Linked DNA regions of Saccharomyces cerevisiae S288C. The gene in region 2 interacts genetically with the main gene of each other region. Each region holds a gene or a part of one and is shown on either strand. Other genes may lie near its edges.

The links.
Region 1: mutations in THP1 (region 2) and GBP2 together harm fitness more than expected from each alone (negative genetic interaction), as found in Saccharomyces cerevisiae (2 studies listed by BioGRID).
Region 3: mutations in THP1 (region 2) and SRO9 together harm fitness less than expected from each alone (positive genetic interaction), as found in Saccharomyces cerevisiae (2 studies listed by BioGRID).
Region 4: mutations in THP1 (region 2) and RNA14 are lethal when combined (synthetic lethality), as found in Saccharomyces cerevisiae (one study listed by BioGRID).

The regions. Positions count from the first base shown.
Region 1 is NC_001135.5:99,355-105,257, forward strand, and holds GBP2 (single-stranded telomeric DNA-binding/mRNA-binding protein), read right to left. Parts: upstream 4,005-5,903; coding exon 2,721-4,004; downstream 1-2,720. Other genes in the region: BUD3 (Bud3p), read left to right, coding at 1-1,837; YCL012C (uncharacterized protein), read right to left, coding at 1,963-2,279, 2,347-2,434; SGF29 (Sgf29p), read right to left, coding at 4,217-4,996; ILV6 (acetolactate synthase regulatory subunit), read right to left, coding at 5,265-5,903. UniProt on the Saccharomyces cerevisiae protein: Binds to intron-containing transcripts and is involved in quality control for the export of spliced mRNAs from the nucleus. Binds to pre-mRNAs until splicing is completed or until faulty mRNAs are degraded.
Region 2 is NC_001147.6:192,296-198,164, forward strand, and holds THP1 (Thp1p), read left to right. Parts: upstream 1-2,674; coding exon 2,675-4,042; downstream 4,043-5,869. Other genes in the region: YOL075C (uncharacterized protein), read right to left, coding at 1-1,247; DSC2 (Dsc2p), read right to left, coding at 1,537-2,505; succinate dehydrogenase assembly factor SDH5, read left to right, coding at 4,212-4,700; NBA1 (Nba1p), read right to left, coding at 4,925-5,869. UniProt on the Saccharomyces cerevisiae protein: Component of the SAC3-THP1 complex, which functions in transcription-coupled mRNA export from the nucleus to the cytoplasm.
Region 3 is NC_001135.5:55,869-61,664, reverse strand, and holds SRO9 (Sro9p), read left to right. Parts: upstream 1-2,986; coding exon 2,987-4,291; downstream 4,292-5,796. Other genes in the region: LSB5 (Lsb5p), read right to left, coding at 1-7; dithiol glutaredoxin GRX1, read left to right, coding at 492-824; GFD2 (Gfd2p), read right to left, coding at 939-2,639; ATG22 (Atg22p), read left to right, coding at 5,138-5,796. UniProt on the Saccharomyces cerevisiae protein: May overlap in function with tropomyosin and may be involved in organization of actin filaments. Acts as a multicopy suppressor of RHO3 mutation. RNA-binding protein which may modulate mRNA translation.
Region 4 is NC_001145.3:389,694-396,042, reverse strand, and holds RNA14 (cleavage polyadenylation factor subunit RNA14), read right to left. Parts: upstream 3,289-6,349; coding exon 1,255-3,288; downstream 1-1,254. Other genes in the region: ARG7 (glutamate N-acetyltransferase), read left to right, coding at 1-989; SAM complex subunit SAM37, read left to right, coding at 3,528-4,511; SEN15 (Sen15p), read right to left, coding at 4,558-4,944; ferroxidase FET3, read right to left, coding at 5,311-6,349. UniProt on the Saccharomyces cerevisiae protein: Component of the cleavage factor IA (CFIA) complex, which is involved in the endonucleolytic cleavage during polyadenylation-dependent pre-mRNA 3'-end formation and cooperates with the cleavage factor NAB4/CFIB and the cleavage and polyadenylation factor (CPF) complex.

The DNA.
Region 1 (5,903 bases), on a different chromosome or scaffold from region 2:
GACGAATTCGTCATCAGTTCATGGAAATAAAGAGCTGCCAGACCTTGCTGAGGTGACTACAGCAAATAGGGTTTCTACAACATCGGCTGGGGACCAACGTATTGATACCCAAAGCGAATTTTTACGTGCAGCTGATGTTGAAAACTTAAGTGATGACGATGAACACAGACAGAATGAAAGTAGAGTTTTTAACGATGACCTCTTTGGTGATTTTATTCCTAAGCATTACCGTAATAAACAGGAGAACATTAACAGCTCGAGTAATTTGTTTCCAGAGGGAAAGGTGCCCCAAGAAAAGGGCGTATCAAATGAAAACACTAACATATCTCTCAAAACTAATGAAGATGCATCTACATTGACGCAGAAACTCTCTCCACAAGCGAGTAAAGTGCTGACAGAAAATTCTAATGAATTAAAAGATACCAACAATGAAGGGAAGGACGCAAAGGACATAAAATTAGGAGATGATTACAGTGATAAAGAAACAGCGAAAGAAATAACTAAACCAAAAAATTTTGTTGAAGGAATAACTGAACGGAAAGAAATATTCCCCACTATTCCTAGGTTAGCGCCGCCAGCTTCAAAAATTAACTTTCAAAGGTCACCATCCTATATTGAGCTCTTTCAAGGAATGAGGGTGGTTTTAGATAAGCATGATGCCCATTATAACTGGAAACGCTTGGCTAGTCAAGTCTCCTTAAGTGAGGGACTAAAAGTCAATACTGAGGAAGATGCGGCAATTATAAATAAAAGTCAGGATGATGCCAAGGCGGAAAGAATGACTCAAATTTCTGAAGTGATTGAGTATGAAATGCAGCAACCTATCCCAACTTATTTGCCTAAGGCGCATCTAGATGACTCGGGTATTGAAAAAAGTGATGACAAATTCTTCGAAATTGAAGAAGAACTTAAGGAAGAATTGAAGGGCAGCAAAACCGGTAATGAAGATGTCGGTAATAATAATCCATCCAATTCTATTCCAAAAATCGAGAAGCCCCCAGCATTCAAAGTTATTAGAACATCGCCTGTGAGAATTATCGGAAGGACTTTTGAAGACACTAGAAAATATGAAAATGGCTCTCCATCTGATATTTCGTTCACTTATGATACTCACAACAATGATGAACCTGACAAAAGGCTGATGGAATTAAAATTTCCATCCCAAGATGAAATTCCGGATGACAGATTCTATACTCCAGCAGAGGAACCCACTGCTGAATTTCCGGTGGAAGAACTTCCAAATACTCCGCGAAGTATTAACGTTACAACTTCAAATAACAAGAGCACAGACGATAAGTTGAGTAGCGGTAATATTGATCAAAAACCTACCGAACTGTTAGATGATTTAGAATTCAGTTCATTTAATATAGCATTTGGAAATACCTCCATGAGTACTGACAATATGAAAATATCATCCGACTTAAGTTCGAATAAAACCGTGTTAGGAAATGCTCAGAAAGTTCAAGAGTCTCCTAGTGGACCATTAATCTATGTTTTGCCTCAGAGTAGCACAAAGCATGAGAAAGAGGGGTTCCTTCGAAAGAAACAAAAAGACGAGCCCATTTGGGTTTCCCCTAGCAAAATTGACTTTGCTGATCTAAGTAGGAGAACTAAAGCATTGACGCCAGAGCGTAATACTGTTCCTTTGAAAAACAACGACAGTAGAAAATACAAATATACTGGAGAGGGATCTATCGGTAATATGACAAATATGCTGTTAACTAAAGATGCTTCGTACGCGTACTTAAAAGATTTTGTTGCGTTGAGTGACGATGAAGATGAAGATGGGAAACAGAACTGCGCTGTTGGTGGCCCAGAGAAACTGAAATTTTATTGAGTGTTTTATTGATTTTTTTTTTCTTTTTAATTTAATGCAATGTATACATTTACATAAAATATGGACAAATAAGAAAAAGGGGGAAAAACCTCCCACTTAAGTAAAACTGAATATATTAGATACCTTTACCTACTATCAAAGGTGAATGCTTTTGGATCAATAGGGGTTCCATCGGGGGCAATACCATTTTGGCCGAACTTTCTTTCCATATATAATAGTCTAGCCTTATCGAAATCTACATTATCGTTTTCCATAATTTGTTTAATCTCATTCTTGGAGACATCATCCAAACCACCTCTTACGTCGTTGCTATTCTCCGAGATAATATCGAAATTCCTGGAATGGAGACCGTTTTCTAGGTCATCAGCAAAGGAATCATTTAAACGTATATGTCTATTAAAACGTAATTGTATTCTTGAACGCAGTGCACGAAATTTGTCGGCTATTACAGCTGTTAGTATTTAGATACGGTTTGCACTTTGCATTTTCAAATGCTTAAATATACATACCAACTTTGGTTTTCCGGTGTGCCATAAGAAGGCATAAAGACAATAGCACAACCCAGAGGAGCAATTTGAGATAGAACAAACTCTTCATACTCGTATTTGCAATTTTTGGAAATTAATTGTGTAGCTTTTCTTCTCTTAATTGGTGGCAGTTTTTATATATTCAGTTTAGAATACCCTTTTTTTTTTTTTTTTTTTCTTCGCTTTTCGCATCTCATCGCTGGAAGTGGTGCTCTTTTACAGGGATTAAATAAGGTTATTCTTTTTGGTCAAAATGATAAATATAACTATTAAAGTTATTTATAACCCGCCCGCTTCCTTATTATTTATACGTTATCATAAAGTACACAGGTCATGGTTCGGTTGGTGCTTAGGAATTAATCACGTCTAGCATAAGAGATCTGTAAACTACAACCACCATAATTATAATTATTTAATTTTTGAATACAAAAATCTGCATCTACTAAATTTTCATATTCTACAACAGCAACACCAGTTGGTTGACCATTTTCCTGTGGTTTCAATTCCGCGTTATTGATTTTGCCGATAGGCCCAAACAAGTCGAATAAATCGCTTCTTGCTGTTGAGAATGGTAAATTACTACAATAAATGAAACAGTTTCTATCCCCTCCTGGATTGACACCTTCAGTAAATTTTGCTGCAGTTTCATCAATGTGGACAGCGGCATCCTGCGCAAGACCTGGTTCAGTACCTCTGGTATCTTCAAGGTCCTCACGCCTTTGATTATAACGATCATTGTTCTTTCTCTTGTTGAAACGCCCTTCTCTAACTTCCAAAACTCTACCTTCTACTTCCATGCCGTTGAATGTATCGATAGCTCTAATCATTTCATCCTCAGTAGGATAAATGACAGAACCGAATCCTCTTGAAAATCCGTTGAAATCCAATTCTACATCGGCACGCAAGACATGACCACATTCTTTAAACATATCTTTTAAGGATTGCCAATTCATAGAGTACGGTAAATTGATGATGAACACTTCAAACCCATTATCTATTTCTTCCCTAGTAGCTTTCTTAGAAAATTCCTTGGCAGCTTCAGGAGGAGGATTATCCTGTCTTACCATTAGTTTCCGGTCCATAAAGAGGGCACCATCAAACTTCGATATGGCATCTTGGACAGATTCGTTTTTGGTAAATTCCACAGTCCCCATACCACGGTGATGGCCCTTTGATGTGATAATGTCAGCCTCCACAACTTCGCCCACTGTACCAAACAATTCCTTAAGGTCTTCAGGGGTACAATCAAAAGTCAAGTTTCTCACGAAGATACTATTTTCAAAATTTCTCTTGGTCGCGTCAAATTGCCTTTCTAAGTCTCTTTCAACAATTGGACCTAAAGTACGACCCCTACCGCCACCGCGTCCCCCTCTGAATGATCTGCTTCCTCCTCTGCCACGGCCTCCTCGGCGAGGGGGCCAGTTCCTATCATCGTGGTAGCGGCTGCCACCATAACTCTGATCGTACCGATCATTGAAACGGGAGCCTCGGTCGCGTCTCTGACGACGACTGCCATTACCATTATTACTGCTACTATCGTTATAATCATCGTACCTGTCTCTGTCGTCGCTCAAACGACGACGTACAGGTGATCTTGATCTACTCCTATCATTTCCATACATCCCTAGCTCTCTCTCCATCTTGGCGAAAAAATCCAGCTGATGTTTGTTTCCTTTTCGCCCATAGCTTATTTCTAATGGGAAATCCTCAATATAATTGATTTCATCCAAGCTTTCATTTTTTTTCAATTTTTTTCACCTTCAAGTGAATACATCACTTCCGACGATACCAAAATAATGACAAAATGCCATGAGAAGATCTTATGATATGTAGTAAATGTTAACCACCATTGCTATTTCCTTGCTAGGTTTGCCAAAGCCGTTGGCGAAGGCAGCACTAGACGGCGAGTCACTTCCGTCTCTTTGTCCACTTCCTCTTCACCATCAAATCGAAGCCTGCAAGTGCCGTCCCTCTTGGTTCCGATGACAATTGCAGGATAAAAAGTGGTCGTTTCAGGATATCTTGCCAGAACCTTAGTACCTGGCGGGTAGTTCTTAGTGGGAAAGCCTGGCGGGATCAACAGTAGTTCTTTCCGATTACATTTATACACCTTGCCTGAGTTGCCCAATTCATCAGGTTCAGGATCTCTCACTTCAAATCGTGTACCATCTGCTACGACTTTGAGTACTTCACACTGTATCCATTCGCCGTCGGCACTGCCCCTTCTGGGCTTATAGGCAACCTCTGAGCCCACCAAAATAGGTGCATTTGGGTTGTATTCGCTGGTCCAGTACGATCTGCCAACTTTCCCCACAGCTTTCTTGCCCTGCGACAATGCCATGCGTGTCCCTTCTCCTTCTTCTGCATCTTCAGTATTTTCCTCACTCTTTTCCTCTCGTGACTGATTCAACATCAACGACAAATTGGAACGTACATTGTCAAGGATTCGGTGCACTCTGTTGACGTTTTCCATGTGTTCTTGGAAAGTGTTGAGATGCAATTGCAGCTGATCCTTTGACATATTAAGGAAATTTAGTTTTTTTGTTTGCAGCTCATCATCAAAGGGAATGACCTCGTTGGCATTGTATATGTCTTGCAAGGACGACACTACAACATCCCAATATCCGTCCATAATAAGAAAGGTGACCGTGTGTTTTGCTGTGAAAAACTCCCCCCACTTAGAGAAGCCACCAAGGTATTGTGTCTTTAACCTTTTTCGTATCTGGCAAAATCGAAGAGGAAAGCAGAAAACCAAAAGAAAAAAATAGTTTAGTAACGCGTCACCTCGTACAAACGTACAATCATAGCAACTTATGAGTAAATAGGCTCATGGTTATAGATACGTTATATAGATGTATAGAGGAGAGTCCCGAGGGCGATCGCAAGGCCGAGAGACTAACCTAACCAGGTGGTAGTTGGGAAATGTCGACGATTTCGCTGATCTTTTCGTCTTCGTCGGCAGCTTCCTCGGTGCTTGTCTTCAAAGGAGTTCTTGGCAATGCCATCATACCGCTTCTTGCACACTCTAGGACACCGAATGGCTCGACCAACTTCAAGAAGGCAGAGATACGTGTGGGTTTTGCAGACAACTCCACAATACAGCTTGTTTCGCTGATGTCGACGACACGACCTCCAAAGTTGTTGGTCAAGTTGGTGATATCGTTCAAATGCTCGTGCTTCAACCTTAATACCTCACTGGCGGGCAAGTTGGCAGGGTGGAATTGCTTTTCTCTGATTTCGGCGACCAATTCTTGGGAGTCAGCGGCGCCAGCATTGGTGGAAGTGTGGTGGTGCAATAGTAGGTCTTCGAAGTATTCAGTACCCAATAGAGAGATTCTGGCCATCACTAGCTCTCTTTTGATGATCTCAGAATTGGTATAGTCTAGGACGGCGTAGACGGGGACCAAGTCTTCGATTTGTCTGCGTGCTTGTTCGACTACGCCATCTTGCCCTTGCAAAACAATGGTCATTCTACTTAGGTCTTTGACCTCGGTGTTGCACACGACCAACGAATCGATGTTAAAGCCTCTGGCAGCTAA
Region 2 (5,869 bases):
GCGTAAAGACATGCGGTTGTTGTCCTTAAACCACCTATACTGCTTTTGTCAGGTTTATAGTAAATCCAACCGCAAACAGTACCAATAATCAACGGTTCTGCAAAAGTAGATATTAAAGTAACGTAATCTGAAAAATTTAATTTGAAATTTCGCCTTGTTAGCACCGTAACTTGCTTCCAAAATGGCAGTCTGGTAGTCATATTCTGAATTTGAATTTCCGTTGCGTTGCTTATATAAGATTCTGCCTGTAGTTGCAAATGAGTTCTCTCATAATCATGCCAATGATCAATCAATGAATTTAGCCGACTTTGCGTGGCAGCTTCTTCTTTATCAGATCTAGAGTCTACGCTTGATAAATCAATGAAATAATCTGCTGGATTTACCAGCTGGGGTACGTGATAACCAATAGACTCAAAATAAGGGATAGTATTATCCATTTTGTCACAATATACCACATTTCCCTTTGACAAAATACAAACCTGGTCCAATAAAAACAATATATCCGATCTCGGCTGATGAATTGACATGATAAAAGTCCTGCCATCTTCTTTAGCTAATTTTTTCAAAGTTTTAATAACCAAGAAGGCAGAATATGCATCCAGTCCAGTGGTAGGCTCATCTAAGAACATGATGGAAGGGTTTGAAATCATTTGAGTACCAATACTTAGTCTTCTCTTTTCACCACCAGAAAGACCCCTGTGCGAGTTGTCCCCCACAAGAGTATCGGCACAATCCTTGAGCCCTAATTCTTCAATTAATTGCTCGACCATTAATTTCTTGGTTCGCTCAGAAGAGTTTAGTTTCAAATCAGCTGCAAACTTAAGAGTTTCTCTACAAGTCAACCTAGGAGAGAGTACATCTTGTTGAGGTAGGTACGCCATTATTACGTGTTTCTGGATGGGATGGTCTTGGCCATCCAAGTGAGCCCTCTTAGGCTCTGTTTCATTGGGTTCTGAACCTGTATCTTCCAATACGTACCGTATAGAACCATTATGAGTTAACCCACCACTGATCTTGGATGCCAGAACATTCAGCAACGTAGTCTTCCCTGACCCCGAACCACCCATAACTGCCATGACCGACCCACTGGGCAGGTCCATGGAAAACGTATTAACTAGCGTCGTATTTGTTTTGGATGCAACGATTGACAAATCCCTTACATGAAGGCTTATTCTAGGGATTCTTGAGAAGGAAAGTCTATTTTCGATTAATTCAGTGGCCACATCACCATTCTCCTGCTGTGACATAGTGGCTGCAAGTGGATGTTTGGCGTTGGTGATTGTAGCTTAAAATACGATGATCGTTTGAAAACTGCCAAGCACTTGTGCCTACTTCTGCATTTACATCACAAATTCGTTTATCTCATCACTAGATCCTTCCTTTTTTTTTTTTCACTTTCTGATATTTCGTATAAGTGTCAACCCAACAATACTAAAGCCAGACATATGATAGAAGTAACTGCCTCACATGGCTGTAAACGATGTTGCTAAACCGTTGCTATGTTTATTTGTTTATGTAGGTATATGCTGATATAAATCATCTCCTAAAGGTATCCAAAAATTGGACTCCCAGTGGTCTTGCAGGTTCATCGGCACCAGGCTCGTCATCACCAGCGCTAGAGGTATTTGTAGGGGTGGTGCTTGAACCACGAAGCGGTAGGCTTGTAGGCCCAGAGTTGCCTGTATTTCCATTTCCTGTAGCAGCAGTAGCTGCTTCTACAGTGGCTCTTGCTGCTGCTGTATTCGTGGCCGCATTGGCCGCTATAGCAACGTTAGCCCTCGTGGGTGGGCCTTGAGAGATGAAATAGGATACAAACGGTATTCTCCAATGGTCTAATCCCGGTAACAGGCCCTTATCGATGAAAATACCACACATCCAGCTTATGAATCCGCATAGTATTCCTGCAAACCCCTGATTTAATATAAGCAGGAGAATTAACCCATTTAAAAGAAACTGATCGTTGATTTTCCACTCTACGGCGCTCTTGTCTTCTCGCTTGTTATCATTGTGACTTGATGCTCCTCCTCGAGGTCCTAGTAATCTTATATTCCATTCGTAAATCTGAGGGGTGTATTCTTTGTAAAAATGTACTAAGCTTAAAACAATGGGCAGTGAACCTGTACTAAAATTGTTCCATTGAAGCCACTTGTACTGTCCAATAAATGCGTTCCAGATCAGATTCAATCCCCAAATTCCTAAGGTGGTGTAGGCCCATGACAAAACAATCAAGGTCAAGTACTTGTGGGATCCTAGTAGCCGTTCTAAATGCCTAAACAGATACCATATCAACGCCAGTATTACTGTATCGGATTCATTGATGGCGCAGAACTGGAATATGAGCAGACGGTAGTATTGATGGTAGGTCTGCAGAAAAGGATCATATTGCAATAGAAATATATGTTTGTAACTTGCAATCGAGGCAACTAAGGGAACCACAAGCGTCGTGATCATGGCTAGCTTGGTGACGGGCATAGCCGTAAGCCCCACAGGAGGCTCCATAGACATTATTTGTAGACTATTGTGTTTGCTTTTTATGTCGTTGACTTTCTCTCCCTTTAATAGTTAAGTTTATACGTCAAATTTCTCTTCTATACTTTTCCAAAAAAAAAAAACCATCTTCACATCAATGGCATTCAAAGTAAGAAACAGGGCAGGGATAAAAGGATAGATAGCAATGGACATGGCCAACCAGTTGCTAGATGAATTAGCACATGGAAATTTTTCCCACCTAACGCTAAACTTGTCCCAAAATGGTAGGGAAATTGCTATCTTACAGAAGCAATTGACCGGATTTGATGATAAACAGCTAGAAACGTTTGTAGAACAACACCCGGCTATGCCCAATGATACGAGATTCAAAATCATGTGTACATCCTTTTTAAATTATGCCCGAGATGTCGACCCATGGTCAGCCTGGTCCAGTTCGGATCTAATTTTTGAGTTTTATCAATGTTTAATCAACTGTCTCATCAACGACAATGCTCCTCACATAGAAATGTTGATACCAGTAGCAACTAGAGAAACAGAATTTATCATCAATCTCGCTGGGAAACTAGACTCTTTCCACTTGCAACTGCATACGAGAAGTCACCAATTTCTATCACATATATCGTCCATCCTATCAAGACTATTTAACAGCATCAAACCTCCACGAGGTAACGCATCTTCTACAAATATACCTGGAAAACAACGAATACTGCTCTACCTGGTCAATAAACTAAATAACATCTACTTCAGGATCGAGTCACCGCAATTATGTTCCAATATCTTTAAGAACTTTCAGCCAAAAAGCATGCTTGCACATTTCAACGAATACCAGCTCGACCAGCAAATAGAATACAGATATCTATTAGGAAGGTACTACTTGTTGAACTCTCAAGTACATAATGCCTTCGTTCAATTCAATGAAGCTTTCCAGTCCTTATTGAACTTGCCGTTAACGAACCAAGCGATCACTAGGAATGGCACCAGAATACTAAATTACATGATCCCTACAGGGCTGATACTGGGAAAGATGGTCAAATGGGGACCGTTGCGACCGTTCCTTTCCCAAGAAACAATTGATAATTGGAGTGTTCTCTACAAACACGTACGTTATGGGAATATTCAAGGCGTGAGTCTCTGGCTGAGACAAAACGAGCGTCATTTGTGTGCAAGACAGTTACTGATCGTGCTCCTAGAGAAACTGCCCATGGTAACGTACAGAAATCTGATTAAAACGGTAATAAAGTCCTGGACCACCGAATGGGGTCAGAACAAATTACCGTACTCCTTGATAGAACGGGTACTACAGCTATCTATTGGTCCGACATTCGAGGATCCCGGCGCCCAGGAAATTACCATTTATAATGGCATTCACTCCCCCAAGAACGTCGAAAACGTACTTGTGACACTGATTAACTTGGGACTTTTACGCGCAAACTGTTTCCCACAGTTACAACTGTGTGTAGTGAAAAAGACTACAATGATACAAGAGATTGTTCCGCCGGTTAATGAACGAATCACCAAGATGTTTCCTGCCCATTCTCACGTTCTTTGGTGATATGTAGATATATATAGGAAATAGAAGAGAAGGAGCGACATTATGCTGTTTCTTACAGATTTCATAAGAGACTAGATTTTAAGTATATTTAGGATATATAAGAAAGGCGAAATTTGTAAAAAAAGAACAGGAGGAAAAAAGGGAGTACACTTTAAAAAGGAGCACATAAATGCACAATATGTTTCCAGCACTCACAAAGACACTGTCGTTGCAAGGCTACAAGATTATCAACTCTCAAACAGGGTCCGCTGCATGGTCGTGCGGTCGTAGGTGGTTTAGTAGTGATAAAGATGACCACGACGATGTGGTGACGAGGATTAAAATTGCCCCCATAAAGAGAACTAACGAGCCATTGGATAAGAAAAGAGCTCGGTTGATATATCAATCACGCAAAAGAGGGATCTTGGAGACGGACTTGCTGCTATCTGGGTTCGCTGCCAAATATTTGAAGAAGATGAACGAAGAGGAACTGGAAGAATACGATTCGCTATTGAATGAGTTGGACTGGGACATATACTATTGGGCCACAAAAAATTTCAAAACCAGCCCCTTGCCTGACAAGTGGGCCAATTCTAAATTGCTGAAGCAGCTACAAGAATTCAGTGAAAATAAAGAGAAGGAAATTTTAAGTATGCCGGACTTGTCCAAGTATCAATGAATACAAGCCATTGAATTACTATCACTTTTTTTTATTTGTATATGACTTGTAAATAAACCGGAAGAGAAAGAAACTTATATATTACCACTATACTATACTATACTTATTGCTATTATTATTATTCATTATTAGTATTATAATATATTATTGATATTGATATTGATATTGTTATTGTTATTGTTACTACCACTGTTACTATTACTATTATTATTGTTGTTGCACCATCAAAACCCTTCAAGAGCCTTTGTAGCTTTGTCTAATCTTTTCAGTCCTTCTTCATAGCGGTCCGGATCAAGAACCATGTCTGCTGTTAACCTGGACAAAGAGTCTACTAGTCTCTCCAGGGCACGTTTCTCCTCAATTTTCATCCCCAGTTGCGCAAATTCAGACCCGATTAAGGTTCCCTTTGTCACACTCAACAGTTGATTTAGTGTGTCGATATCAAAGGATCGCAATTCCTTCACAGATTTTTTTTTATTGAGCTTTTTTTTCGTATCCTTCTTGAGTTTAGTTTTCTTGGGCGTTTCCTCAATGATGTCCTCGTACATGTCATCATCTTGTTTGTTTGTCGAAGTAGAGGTATGATTTGCCCTATCATGAATAGCCTTCAATGTGTCGTCACGTTTCAAATTCGATGTAACTCTGCTATCCTCATTGGGTGTGCTGGGCAATGGTCTTGTCAAGTAAGTCTCTTCCTCTGGAGGCATACTCGTTGCCGCAGAATAGTAAGATTCCGATTTTTGTTCACTAACTGTGGAAATCTGAGATGAGTTCTTATAGTGGCCACCAGGTTGGACCGGCGTTGGTAATATTTCTTCGGTTAAAAGATCCCCCTCGCCATCACCTTCTTCGATGAACAACCTTGACCTAGGACGGTCCTTACTTCTGGGCGGAATAGTTGGATTGTAGTCATTGGTTTCAGAACGTATTGGGTTTATCGCTTTGGGTGCTTCGTTGGTGGTTGTATACAACTCGGGTATGACACTGGAAACAATTGAAAGCTTATCGCTAACATTTCCTTCCTCTTCTTCTTCGAGCTGCTCTTGAATAGATTGATGGAATTTGGTATTATAAGTGGAAGATCCGCTCTCGCTGGCCAAATTACCTGATCCTATAGAGGAACGCATAACTTTTTCCTGACGTAGAGGACTAGATAACAGTTTCAGTGA
Region 3 (5,796 bases), on a different chromosome or scaffold from region 2:
ACCCCATGTTCTTGTTTTGCCTGCCTCCAATGCTTTATCACTCTCTCACACTGTCACAATCGTGTTGTCTTCATCCTTAGAAAGGATACCACATTGATAAACAACATATATAAAGTTTAACTATTACCTTGATCACTTTACACGTCAAGGTCAAAACAGTTTCATAGTTATCACCTTGAAGTATGGCTCCATCATCTATAAAACATGAACTTCATGCACAAGTGAGCTGTCTACAGATAACGAGCAGCCGCAACGGCGTTTCCAGATTGCGATGCTTGTTTTCTTTATCTACTACTGCCTTACTACCCCCCTTGCGCCTCCTGATTCACGTGATGTGGGAATTTTGTCTTGAAAGGAGTAAATATATAAAATAAATGAAAAGTTTATATAATATAAAAAGGGACTTTAGCATAAAATAAAGAACTTCGTGCAGTACTTATACGAGCATTCGCATAATTATACAAATAGACAAAACCTCAGAAGGAAAAAAAATGGTATCTCAAGAAACTATCAAGCACGTCAAGGACCTTATTGCAGAAAACGAGATCTTCGTCGCATCCAAAACGTACTGTCCATACTGCCATGCAGCCCTAAACACGCTTTTTGAAAAGTTAAAGGTTCCCAGGTCCAAAGTTCTGGTTTTGCAATTGAATGACATGAAGGAAGGCGCAGACATTCAGGCTGCGTTATATGAGATTAATGGCCAAAGAACCGTGCCAAACATCTATATTAATGGTAAACATATTGGAGGCAACGACGACTTGCAGGAATTGAGGGAGACTGGTGAATTGGAGGAATTGTTAGAACCTATTCTTGCAAATTAAGGGCAGACAAAGTTTTTTCCATGCACACAGGTTTATAATGAGCTTATATATATGTATATGTATATGTATACAAGCATGTGTTTGTATTTACAGGAAAAAAATCGATGAATATATTTAGTGTGTCGGAAGAGTGCTTGTGAAGGCGTCTTTAGCAGTTCCGAAATACGTTAACCCACCGAATTCCGTTTGGCAGACTCTTTCCTTCCTACTGCTCTTGACGCCCTTGCGGTACGTCCGATTTTTGACTGCCTCCTCGATGGAGATGGCATACGACATGGGCACCACTTTAGGCTCTCGTACGTCTCGTTCTCCCCAAACTTTTACTTGGCCCATTACTTTAAGAACATCGTCCATGCCGCTTATTTTCCTGAAATTAACATCGCAAAACTTCATGAACAAATGCAGGGTATAGTAGGCATCGTTACCGGCATTGTGTAGAAACGCATGCGGTATCTCGAACAACCGCAGAATCTTGCCCAGACTGCTGCCCTTTTCGCCATACGATTTCCTGTAAAACTGCTCAGTGTCCAAGATGAACACGTCTAGATCACCGGGAGTTTCAGCCAAAAGCAGCGTATGGTCCAGATGGCCTTCATACCCTCTGCCAGGGAATTTGACACCAATAGTCTCCAGCCACTTAAGATCCCCGCTCACGTGATGACCAACAAATGCCCTTGACCATGTCTTGTCTTCTTCGGTCACCGGGACCAAGTAATAGTTTATTAGTGATTGAATGAAATGCACGCACTCTTTCAAGCTCAAAACATAGCTTTCTCCCAATAAGTAGCAATCCTTGTAGTCACAGACCCATTTTTGGTTTCTAAGTTCCAGGGACTCCTCGATAATTAGGTGGTAATTCTTTGTAATTGGAACCATTGACGGCACCATATTTTCCCTGGGGTCATAAATTGAAATCCCAATTTCGGTGATTACGTTCTGGTTTGTTTCGAAAGCCTCTATATCAAGACAAAAGCATATTGCTCTCTGAGAGGCCATCAGCCTGATGCATTTCTCCAGATAAGCAAATTCATTCGAGCGTGAATGTGCTTCCACCATGGGCCAGAACGTCTTCCTCACGCTGTTTTTCTCGTCAGCCAGTAGTTTCTGTTCTGTCTCTAGGAGCTTGATGGTACCATTCATTCCTAACATTTTCTTCTGAATGGCTTCGAACCAAGCGGTGTCGCTCATTCCTTTGGGCTGCGGACAGATACAGTTGGCTCGGTCCTCTTTGGTCAATGGAGACAGCCGCTGTGATCTTTTGGACCTGGGTGGTACGATCGTGTCGCTTAATCTTTTCAAAAACCGGCGTTCTTCCACGAGTTTTTCCAGTTTTGCATGCACATCACCATGTACCATATGCCATTCACTGTCCACCTGCGCCAGTTTGGCTTCCAATTGCGCCCTGGATTGTCCATAGGAGGCATCAAACTTCTGCCTCATCTCCGCCACATATGCATCGATCATGGGCTTCCTTAGTTGGTCCAATTCCTTAGAAAACGCGGTCTTTCTCAACTGTACATAGTAATCTATCTGGTCCAGCCAATTGCACTTAGCACGGTCCCAGGGCGTATTCAATTGGGTCCTGGCATCCAGAAACGCCTCCACACAGCCCGCGATCTTGCCGCTTCCTGTTCGGTCCTTCACTAATCCTCTGACAGAGAGCGTCCCATTACTTAGTTTTGTTGCCAAAGCACCGGTATTACCGCTTCTGGAACGATAACGGGGGCCTGCGCCGTTATTATTCCTCCTCTCCCAATGGACGCTTTTATCGCTACCGTTATTACTGTTATCTCTCACCATTTTTTGAACCTGCATGTGGATCTGGACTCTCGAGCAAGACCCAAGTTCTCATTGCCTCCTTTCCTTCTTCCCTTCTTATATGTTGTCTTGTTGAACCTCAAAACACTAGCGGATAATACGGATTTTGAGGGATGCTCATCGCAAATTTTTCAGAAATGGTGCACGGATGTACCCACGCAATGAAAAATTTTTTTCACTTCTGGTAGGTCAAGAACAAAGAAAGAAAAGTACAAGTGTAAACATTTCTTAACATCTTTTTCGGTTTTATGAAGATCTTTTGGGATCCTAGATCGGTAATAGAACATCAGGATTACTCTGGACCTGCTAACGTGTTTCATCTTCTTTTCACTTCTCTGCCCACGATGTCTGCTGAAACCGCCGCCGCAAACACTGCTACTGCCCCAGTCCCAGAAGTGCAAGAACAAGAGAGCTCCAAGAGCAAGCAAGTCAACTTGACGCCGGCACCATTGCCCACATCTTCCCCATGGAAACTTGCTCCTACTGAGATCCCTGTTTCTACTATCTCAATAGAAGACTTGGATGCCACAAGAAAGAAGAAGAACAGAACACCCACTCCGAAATCATCGACTGCTACCAAGTGGGTTCCCATCAAGGCCTCCATTACCGTCTCTGGCACCAAAAGATCCGGTTCCAAGAATGGTGCAAGTAATGGCAACAGCAACAAGAGCAAAAACAACAAAACTGCAGCATCGTCGACATCGTCGAGTAATGCTAACAGGAAAAAGAAGCATCACCAACATAATGCTAAGAAGCAACAACAAATGAAGAAAGATGGCTTTGAATCGGCAGTAGGTGAGGAAGATTCAAAAGACGCTACCTCTCAAGAAAATGGTCAATCTACACAACAGCAACAACCACCTCACCACCGTAATCATCACCACAGTCATCACCATAACAGCAATGGTCCTCAAAGGAGAAAGTTCCACAACAGTAATAACGCCGGTATGCCTCAGAACCAAGGCTTCCCACCACAGTTTAAACCTTACCAAGGACGCAACGCTCGTAATAACAACAACAACCGCTCTAAATACCACAACCACTTCCATCACAACCAACAACATCCTCAACAACCTATGGTCAAATTACAGCAACAGTTTTATCCAGTCCAACCAGTGTTAATGGCCATCAACAACATTGCTAGACAAATTGAATACTATTTCAGCGAAGAAAACTTGACCGTCGACAATTACTTAAGGTCCAAACTCTCCAAGGATGGTTTTGCTCCATTGTCTTTAATCTCTAAGTTTTACAGAGTTGTTAACATGTCCTTCGGAGGTGACACTAACCTGATTTTAGCCGCATTGAGAGAAATTGTCGCTAACGAAGCCGCTACCGTCAATGTTGCAGAAGGTACTTTGGCCGCCAAGGAAGGTGATAACGTTACCGGTGAAGCCAAAGAACCATCTCCATTGGATAAGTACTTCGTTCGTTCCAAGAGCTGGTCAAACTGGTTACCAGAAACTTTTGAAACTGAAATTAATATTGAAAAAGAACTGGTCGGCGATGCATTGGACCAATTCATGATATCCCTACCACCTGTTCCTCAACAAGAAGAGGAATCATCCACTGAACTCGCTTCTCAAGAACAAGAAACCAAAGAAGACTCTGCGCCGGTTGCTGCCGGTGAATCCGAGTCTTCCTTATAAAGGCCTCTCACACTTGCAAAATAAAAAATGGATTCGTTCATTGCATTTTACACAAAAAACCATAAAAAATTGAAAAACCTAATAATTAAAAAAATTAAAAGTTAATCATCCTCCAGCAAAGCTGTTTTTTTTTTGTTTTTTTTTTTTTTTTTGTTTTTTTATCCATTTTTTTCATTTGTTCCATCAGTTTAATACGAAAGAGAAAATAAAAATAAAAACTTTGAACAATTTTCATGTTTTGAATTCATTGTACATTATCATCATAAGCAATAAGATACAAATATTTATGTTTTTTTTTTTTTGTTTTTTTTTTTTTTTAAGATATAAAAATACTAGCCTCTTCTCACTTCGTTTTCTCTCTGTCTAAGTGGCTACCATCATGAGATATGATATTCTTTCTTCTCCCTGCGCAATTCTTAAACCACCTGCTTTTTTTATTCAATTTTTTGCTAATTTAATAATTGGGAAGAAGATATGAAAAATGCCTATTTTACTCTAAGCAATTCATATGTAAAAAATTTTATGTATAGTTTTTTTTTTCTCTTTTGTGCTGTCAAATTCCTTTTTATTGTCATCTAAGACCATGCTTTAGCTTCTGTCATGTATAATGCAACGTGTCTTAGATTATTAATTGTTGTATTGTGCGGCATTGATAGCGCCGCTCAACAATTTTAGGAAATTGCTAAAATTAATTCCTTAAAACGGTATTTTCCTAAACGAAAATACCTCAGCTATTGAAAGATGCGTAGTGTAAACAAAAGGAAAGATTTCAAACTGTACCTATATTACCACGGTTTTTGCCCTTATAAGCAATAGTTTGCTCATAACATATTCTCTACATTAGATATGAGCTATGGAACTATAAATGATATGAATGAATCGGTAACGAACTATCGAATAAAAAAAGCCCAAAACAATATCAAGGGATGGTACGCTTACTCATTTTCTAGCGAACCATTTGTCGTTTCTGCGGTTTCAACGTATATTCCCTTACTACTGCAGCAATTTGCGAGTATAAATGGTGTAAAAGTTCACGATCACTCCATACCCTGCCTGTCAGAAACGGGTAGTGATTCAGATAAGTGTGTTCTTGGTTTGTTCAACAATCGGATCTTCGTAGATACTTCAAGTTTTGCATTATATGTCTTTTCCCTTAGCGTTTTATTCCAAACTATAATAGTCATTTCCGTTTCAGGGATAGTAGATCTCTGGGGGAGCGTTAAATTCAAAGGCAGAATTCTGGTTTGGTTTGGTATTGTGGGCGCATTGTCGACTGTTGCGATTTCAAAATTGAATGATACCCAGATTTATTCTCTGGCTGGGCTTTATATAGTGGCCAATGGTTGTTTTGGCGTTATCAATGTTGTTGGGAATTCTCTTCTGCCCATTTTTGTCAAGGATTCTTTGAAATGTCAAAGTCAAGGAGCTTATGAACCTGATAAGGTAGACTCGTTAACTACTGTTATTAGCGGTAGAGGTGCATCTTTAGGTTATTCAAGTGCCCT
Region 4 (6,349 bases), on a different chromosome or scaffold from region 2:
ATGCCCAAGTAATGATTGATTTGGTTAACGATAAAATTGGTCAAAAAAATTCTACCCTAGTCATGTCTACAGGCGTTATTGGACAACGACTACAGATGGACAAGATCAGCACTGGTATCAATAAAATTTTTGGAGAAGAAAAGTTCGGCAGTGATTTTAACTCTTGGTTGAACGTAGCCAAATCAATCTGTACTACTGATACTTTCCCAAAATTAGTTACATCTAGATTCAAATTACCTAGTGGTACTGAGTATACTTTGACAGGTATGGCAAAGGGCGCGGGTATGATTTGTCCGAATATGGCTACCTTATTAGGTTTCATAGTTACAGATCTTCCTATTGAAAGCAAGGCGTTGCAGAAGATGCTGACTTTCGCTACTACCCGTTCATTTAATTGTATATCGGTGGACGGTGATATGAGCACCAATGACACAATTTGCATGTTGGCCAACGGTGCTATTGACACCAAAGAAATTAACGAAGACTCTAAAGATTTTGAACAAGTAAAATTGCAGGTCACAGAATTTGCTCAGCGCTTGGCCCAGTTAGTCGTTCGCGATGGTGAAGGTTCGACAAAGTTTGTTACTGTTAACGTTAAAAATGCTTTGCATTTTGAAGACGCCAAAATAATTGCTGAATCAATCTCAAACTCTATGTTGGTCAAAACCGCACTATATGGGCAAGATGCCAATTGGGGAAGAATATTGTGCGCGATCGGGTATGCAAAGCTGAATGACTTAAAATCTCTAGATGTCAACAAAATTAATGTTAGCTTTATTGCTACCGACAATTCAGAACCTCGTGAGCTGAAGCTTGTCGCTAATGGTGTGCCACAATTGGAGATCGATGAAACAAGGGCTTCTGAAATATTGGCTTTGAATGATTTGGAAGTGTCTGTCGACTTGGGAACCGGTGATCAGGCAGCACAATTTTGGACTTGTGATTTATCACATGAATATGTAACAATTAACGGTGATTACCGTTCATAAATTCATGTATATTTTGTTCAATCTTTCTTTTATAAGCATGGTTATATAAACGCACAGAAACAGAGTGTTTCCTGTACCTTCTGAATGAGTTTGGCTATTGCCATATTTTTGAAAGAATTAACTATTTCCGTTTTTATTTATGTACGAGGCACCTTAACTATCCTGTCACATCGTTTTTTTTTTACTTAATTACATACAGAGGTTCGCCTATTATAATAGATGTGTTGGTATAAATATTCATATATACCTATTTATTAACGTAATGTTAACCTGACTTGGTGCTCTCAACTGTTGGAATCTCTACTTGATCATTTAAAAAATTCACCAATTTCTGCGCATCGAGTAAATTTGTATTAAAATATTGACGTTTTGGTATAACGCTCAATAAATCAAGAACCTCTGTTGGAAGCTCTGAGTCTCTTTTGAATTTCTTATTGGAGAAGTTTCCATTGTTTCCAGTTTCCTCCATTAGTCTCTTTCTATCTGACGAACTCATATTGTAAGAGCCATGATGGCCATCCCCGTTTCCAGAAGAAAAGTAACTGTCTTCTTCCTCATTATACATATAAGTTAACTCTAATTTCTTTATTAAGTTGGAGTTTTGAATTTGATAACGACTTGTGAAAACTTCAATCAAATTTTCTTGGGGGAACCGTTCGAAAAATCTTTTCTCTAGAGAATAAACGTTGTTTAAGTTACCGAATTTCGATTCATAACTTATCATTTTCTTGTATATTTCCTTCAGCTGGGTTAAATCTTGCACTTTTTCCACTGATGTTTCAAATAAGGTTTTGATCTGCGAATCCTTATTTAAAAATATTAAAAAATCTAAGTATTTGTTGATATAAACTCCATCGTTTTGGAAGTATTTTAAACCCAATTCTAAAACCTTAAAAGCAGTCTTATAATCGTTTTGATTTTGAAATTCTAAATATGCATTTTCCACGTAGACGTCATGTGTTAATATACGCTTCAGTTTACGACATTTACCAAATACAGTACGTGCTGCGGATAGTCCTGATATTCTTTTCATCGTATTCATATACACGCAAAACACGAATGTTAATTTTTCCCTCTGTTTGTATAGCAGCTCTTGTTCATACTCTGTGTTATTATCTTCACCCGAATTTACATCGGAGGCGATCTTTTTATACTGCGATAGTAAAGTTTGAGTGCACTTGTCAAAACAGTTAGAAACACTTTCAGAATCATTATCCAGTTCGTAGCATTCGGATAACTTGAATGTAAGAGAAGGTGAGTCGGGATTAGCTAATAACGCAGTATATAAGATATTTTGTCGATCCGAATTTTCAGATATATACATTGAATAATCGTACCACATTTCAGCAGAAAATATCATGTATTGAATACCTTGTTTATAAACGTAACTGATTCTTTGTGATAGCATATCTTCACTAAGCATCAACTTATTCTCCCTTTCCCATTTTATCCAATTCAACCAAATCTGTAACTGCTGAATGTTTGAGTCTGAGGTACCTGGTTGTGGTATGTTTTTCTTGTTTGCTGTGCGCAGATTAATTGGAGATGCCCTTTTCAATCCATTAGTAACGTTCAACCATTCCTGGTATAAGGAACGGGCTTTCATGTATTCGGCTGATAACTCGCCAATAAATTTTCTGGCTGTTAGGGAATTTATTTCTTGTTCCCATTGAGTGTATCTATTCCACATTTTTTCTAGATTATCAAAAGGAACACATAGCATTTTCTTGTAGAATTCTCTGAGCATGTCAATTCGCTGTTGCTCCTCCCATTTGTTGAATGGCTTCCACTGCTCTAAAAAATTGAGATATTCGTTCCAAAAAGAAGATGATTTGGGTTCAAAAATTGCACACTTTTGCATAACTAGTTGGAATGCCTTGACAATAACAGCTCTCGCCTCTTGTCCACCAGTAATTAAGTTGTTTTTTCTGCGTATGTAGTCCAAATATGTTGACCAAAGAGATAGGTCATTATTTTCCAACTTGCCAGAAAGACATTGAGCCAAAATCTTCTCAACAGTCTCAAATTCATCTCTTGCCAATTCACCCTTTAGTTGCAAAGTCCACGCAGGTGAATAAAACGGGAATGTGTTATGAAATTGCTCGTATACTTCTCTCACCTTAGCGTATGACTCTTGAGTTTCCAAATATTGAATAAGCTGGAAGTATGATAAAATATTCGTGGGATTGTCTTTAATCCTTTCTCTAAGTCGTAGTTCATCTCCATGTATATTGTCACTAGGCTCTGCGACTTTGTCCGCAGAGGGATATAGTAAATCAGGAGTCGTAGAGCTGGACATATCTCTTGTTTGACTCTCCAGTTTGGCCTTTTATTTCGTTGTAGAATACTCTTTCATCACACAAGCTACACTTTTCTTCTTAATTATTACAAGGTAACCGACAATTTTGTCACGATTGTTATCATTTTAAACGAAGTGGGAAATGTAATAAGAAATAAGCTATTTAGAATGGCTACTATTTAATGCTGGAATTTGTATTTTTCAAATAAACGCAAAGCAAGGCTATTATCGAGTCAGTAATGGTTAAAGGTAGTGTGCATTTATGGGGAAAGGATGGCAAAGCATCGTTGATTTCAGTGGACAGCATTGCGCTTGTATGGTTTATCAAGTTATGTACTTCAGAAGAGGCAAAGAGTATGGTTGCGGGATTGCAGATCGTATTCTCAAACAATACAGACCTATCATCAGATGGAAAACTACCAGTGTTAATTTTAGATAATGGAACGAAAGTATCTGGTTACGTGAACATCGTACAATTCTTACATAAAAATATATGTACTAGCAAATATGAGAAAGGTACGGATTATGAAGAAGATTTAGCAATTGTTAGAAAAAAGGATCGCCTTTTAGAGTATTCCCTATTGAATTATGTTGACGTTGAAATTTCCAGACTAACGGACTACCAGCTCTTTTTGAACACCAAAAATTACAATGAATATACCAAGAAGTTGTTTTCAAAATTGCTATATTTTCCTATGTGGTATAATACGCCATTGCAACTAAGATCGCAAGCACGTGAAAATTGTGAGGAGATTATAGGCTCACTGACCCTTGAGGATGATGAAGAATTTGTAGAAAGTAAAGCAATGGAGTCAGCCTCGCAACTAGCACAATCAAAGACCTTCAAAATTGCGCATAAGAACAAAATTAAGGGTAAGCAAGAGCTACAACAGGTGAAATATAATCTTCAATTTGATAATAGACTACAGAGTTGCGTCAGCAATTGGTTGGCTGCCCGTAAAAAACTGGATGATTCTGTAATACTTTCCTCCGACCTTCTTTTCCTTGCAAATCTTTACGTTCAGTTAGGCCTACCTGATGGTAACCGCATCCGTTCAAAACTGGAACAAACCTTTGGAAGTGAATTATTGAATAGTATGTCGAACAAAATTGATGACTTCGTCCATAGACCAAGTAATAACTTGGAGCAAAGAGATCCTCAATTTAGAGAGCAAGGAAACGTTGTGATGTCATTATATAATTTAGCCTGTAAATACATATAATAAAAATAAACAAAATAATGCAGAAAGGTGTCTTTAAGTTCATTTTTCAATTTCTTTTCGGTTTTCGTACTCCTTTATAAACGAAGTAATAAACAATTGTACCATCATCGTTAATTATGGCCAGCAGTATTCTTTCAGTAGATGGACTACATAAGTGAGTAAATGTCTGGCTCAAGCATTCCAAAGTGAGAAAATTCTCTTTGTACTGTGACATATTGATGGGTAATATGAACTCTAGCGGGCGTGGCGATGACAAGCTATTTTCATGCTCTGTGTCTACATCGTTGCTCAGCTTGTGAGGCGGACGACCTCTCAGTAATCTCAGGCTATTTCCCTTCCATGATAAATCGTCTTGTAAAATTTCCACTTCCGTCCACATTTGGAAATAGAGTAAATTATTTTTTACTAGAGATATGATATCTGTCGTTGCCATTCTTATTTTCCTCAACCTCCTCGACGTAATTTCTCTTCGACAATTTATTATATCTTTCATATATTTCTGATGACTTTTTCATTTTCACTTTTTTTCAACCCATAACGGCTTTTTGTTCAAAAGAAACTGATCATGTCATCGATTAAAAGTAAAAGTATGCACATCAGCCTCGTGACAGATGAGGATCTCATGTCAAAAACCGCCAAGAAGCATGCATTATTGAATTTGAAACGTGGTAGATTATTAAGTATATGTCTATGTAATATTAAGTAAGACAAGGGCATTCACTTTACATGCAAATGCATTTGGAACCCTTGACCGAAAAAAAAAAAACAGGTTAACCGCAAAATACATGATCTTCCTTTATTAGAAGAACCGTTTGGCTTTAGTTAAAAATTGATGCTTTTCAGTGGAATGACGATCTTCGTTTACCTGACGCTCTTCATTTTCATCAACCTCATTTAGCAAGACTTCAGGGTCCACGTGCAAGTCTCGAATAACCTTTTCGGTCGCATCTTCCATATCCATCATACCATAAATTGCAATTGTGATAATACCAAGAATACCGGCAAAGCAGGAGAATGTCATGGCAATAATACCTTTTTTGGTAAAACCGGTAGGAATGAAGGCATGCTGAACATTTTCACCAGTTAAATCAGTTAAATCCAGTGTATTGGCAGCGGCGTTACCTTCAGTGGCCACAGAGCAACTCTGGCAAACTTCTAAGTGGTTTTCACTGAGTTGTTGAGAATGAGCATCTTGGATACCAAAAGGATCCTCCACGAGAACAAGACCCAAACCTTGCAACAAATGCCATTCGATATGACAATGGAAGAACCAAACACCTGGGTTATCGGCTTTAAACCTGATGACGAAATTGGATTGTGGTCTAACGTATAAAGTATCTCTTCTCATTGGGTATTCTGGGAAGGCAGGGTGGTTGTCCGGATCGAAACTGTGAGGAACTTCACCTAGGGCATCATCATATGTACGATCTCTCTGGATGGTTTGGAAAGCGTGACCATGTAAATGGAAAGGATGGGTACCTGTGTCCTGGTTATTTAGCACAATCTCCACGATTTCATCCTTCTCTAGGATGAAAGTGTGCGTGTTTGAACCGTAGATTTCGGAGTTGTTTGCTTGATCACCTGAAGACAAAACGGTCATCAAAGTAGGAACTTTTGGTGCAGTATAGGTGATATTATTGAAGAAGGCGTAATTCACACCGTTTTTCAAGTTATCCATAACAACGTCAACGGTAATCACATGATCTGGCTCGCCATAGATGGCTTCTTTCTCGTACGGTTGCAAGTAGAAATCGTCCAAGAAGTTATCAATTGAATCCACGTAATTTTGTGTGGGCAGCGCAGCGGTTTTGTTGTAGACCATATAAGAGGTTGCATTC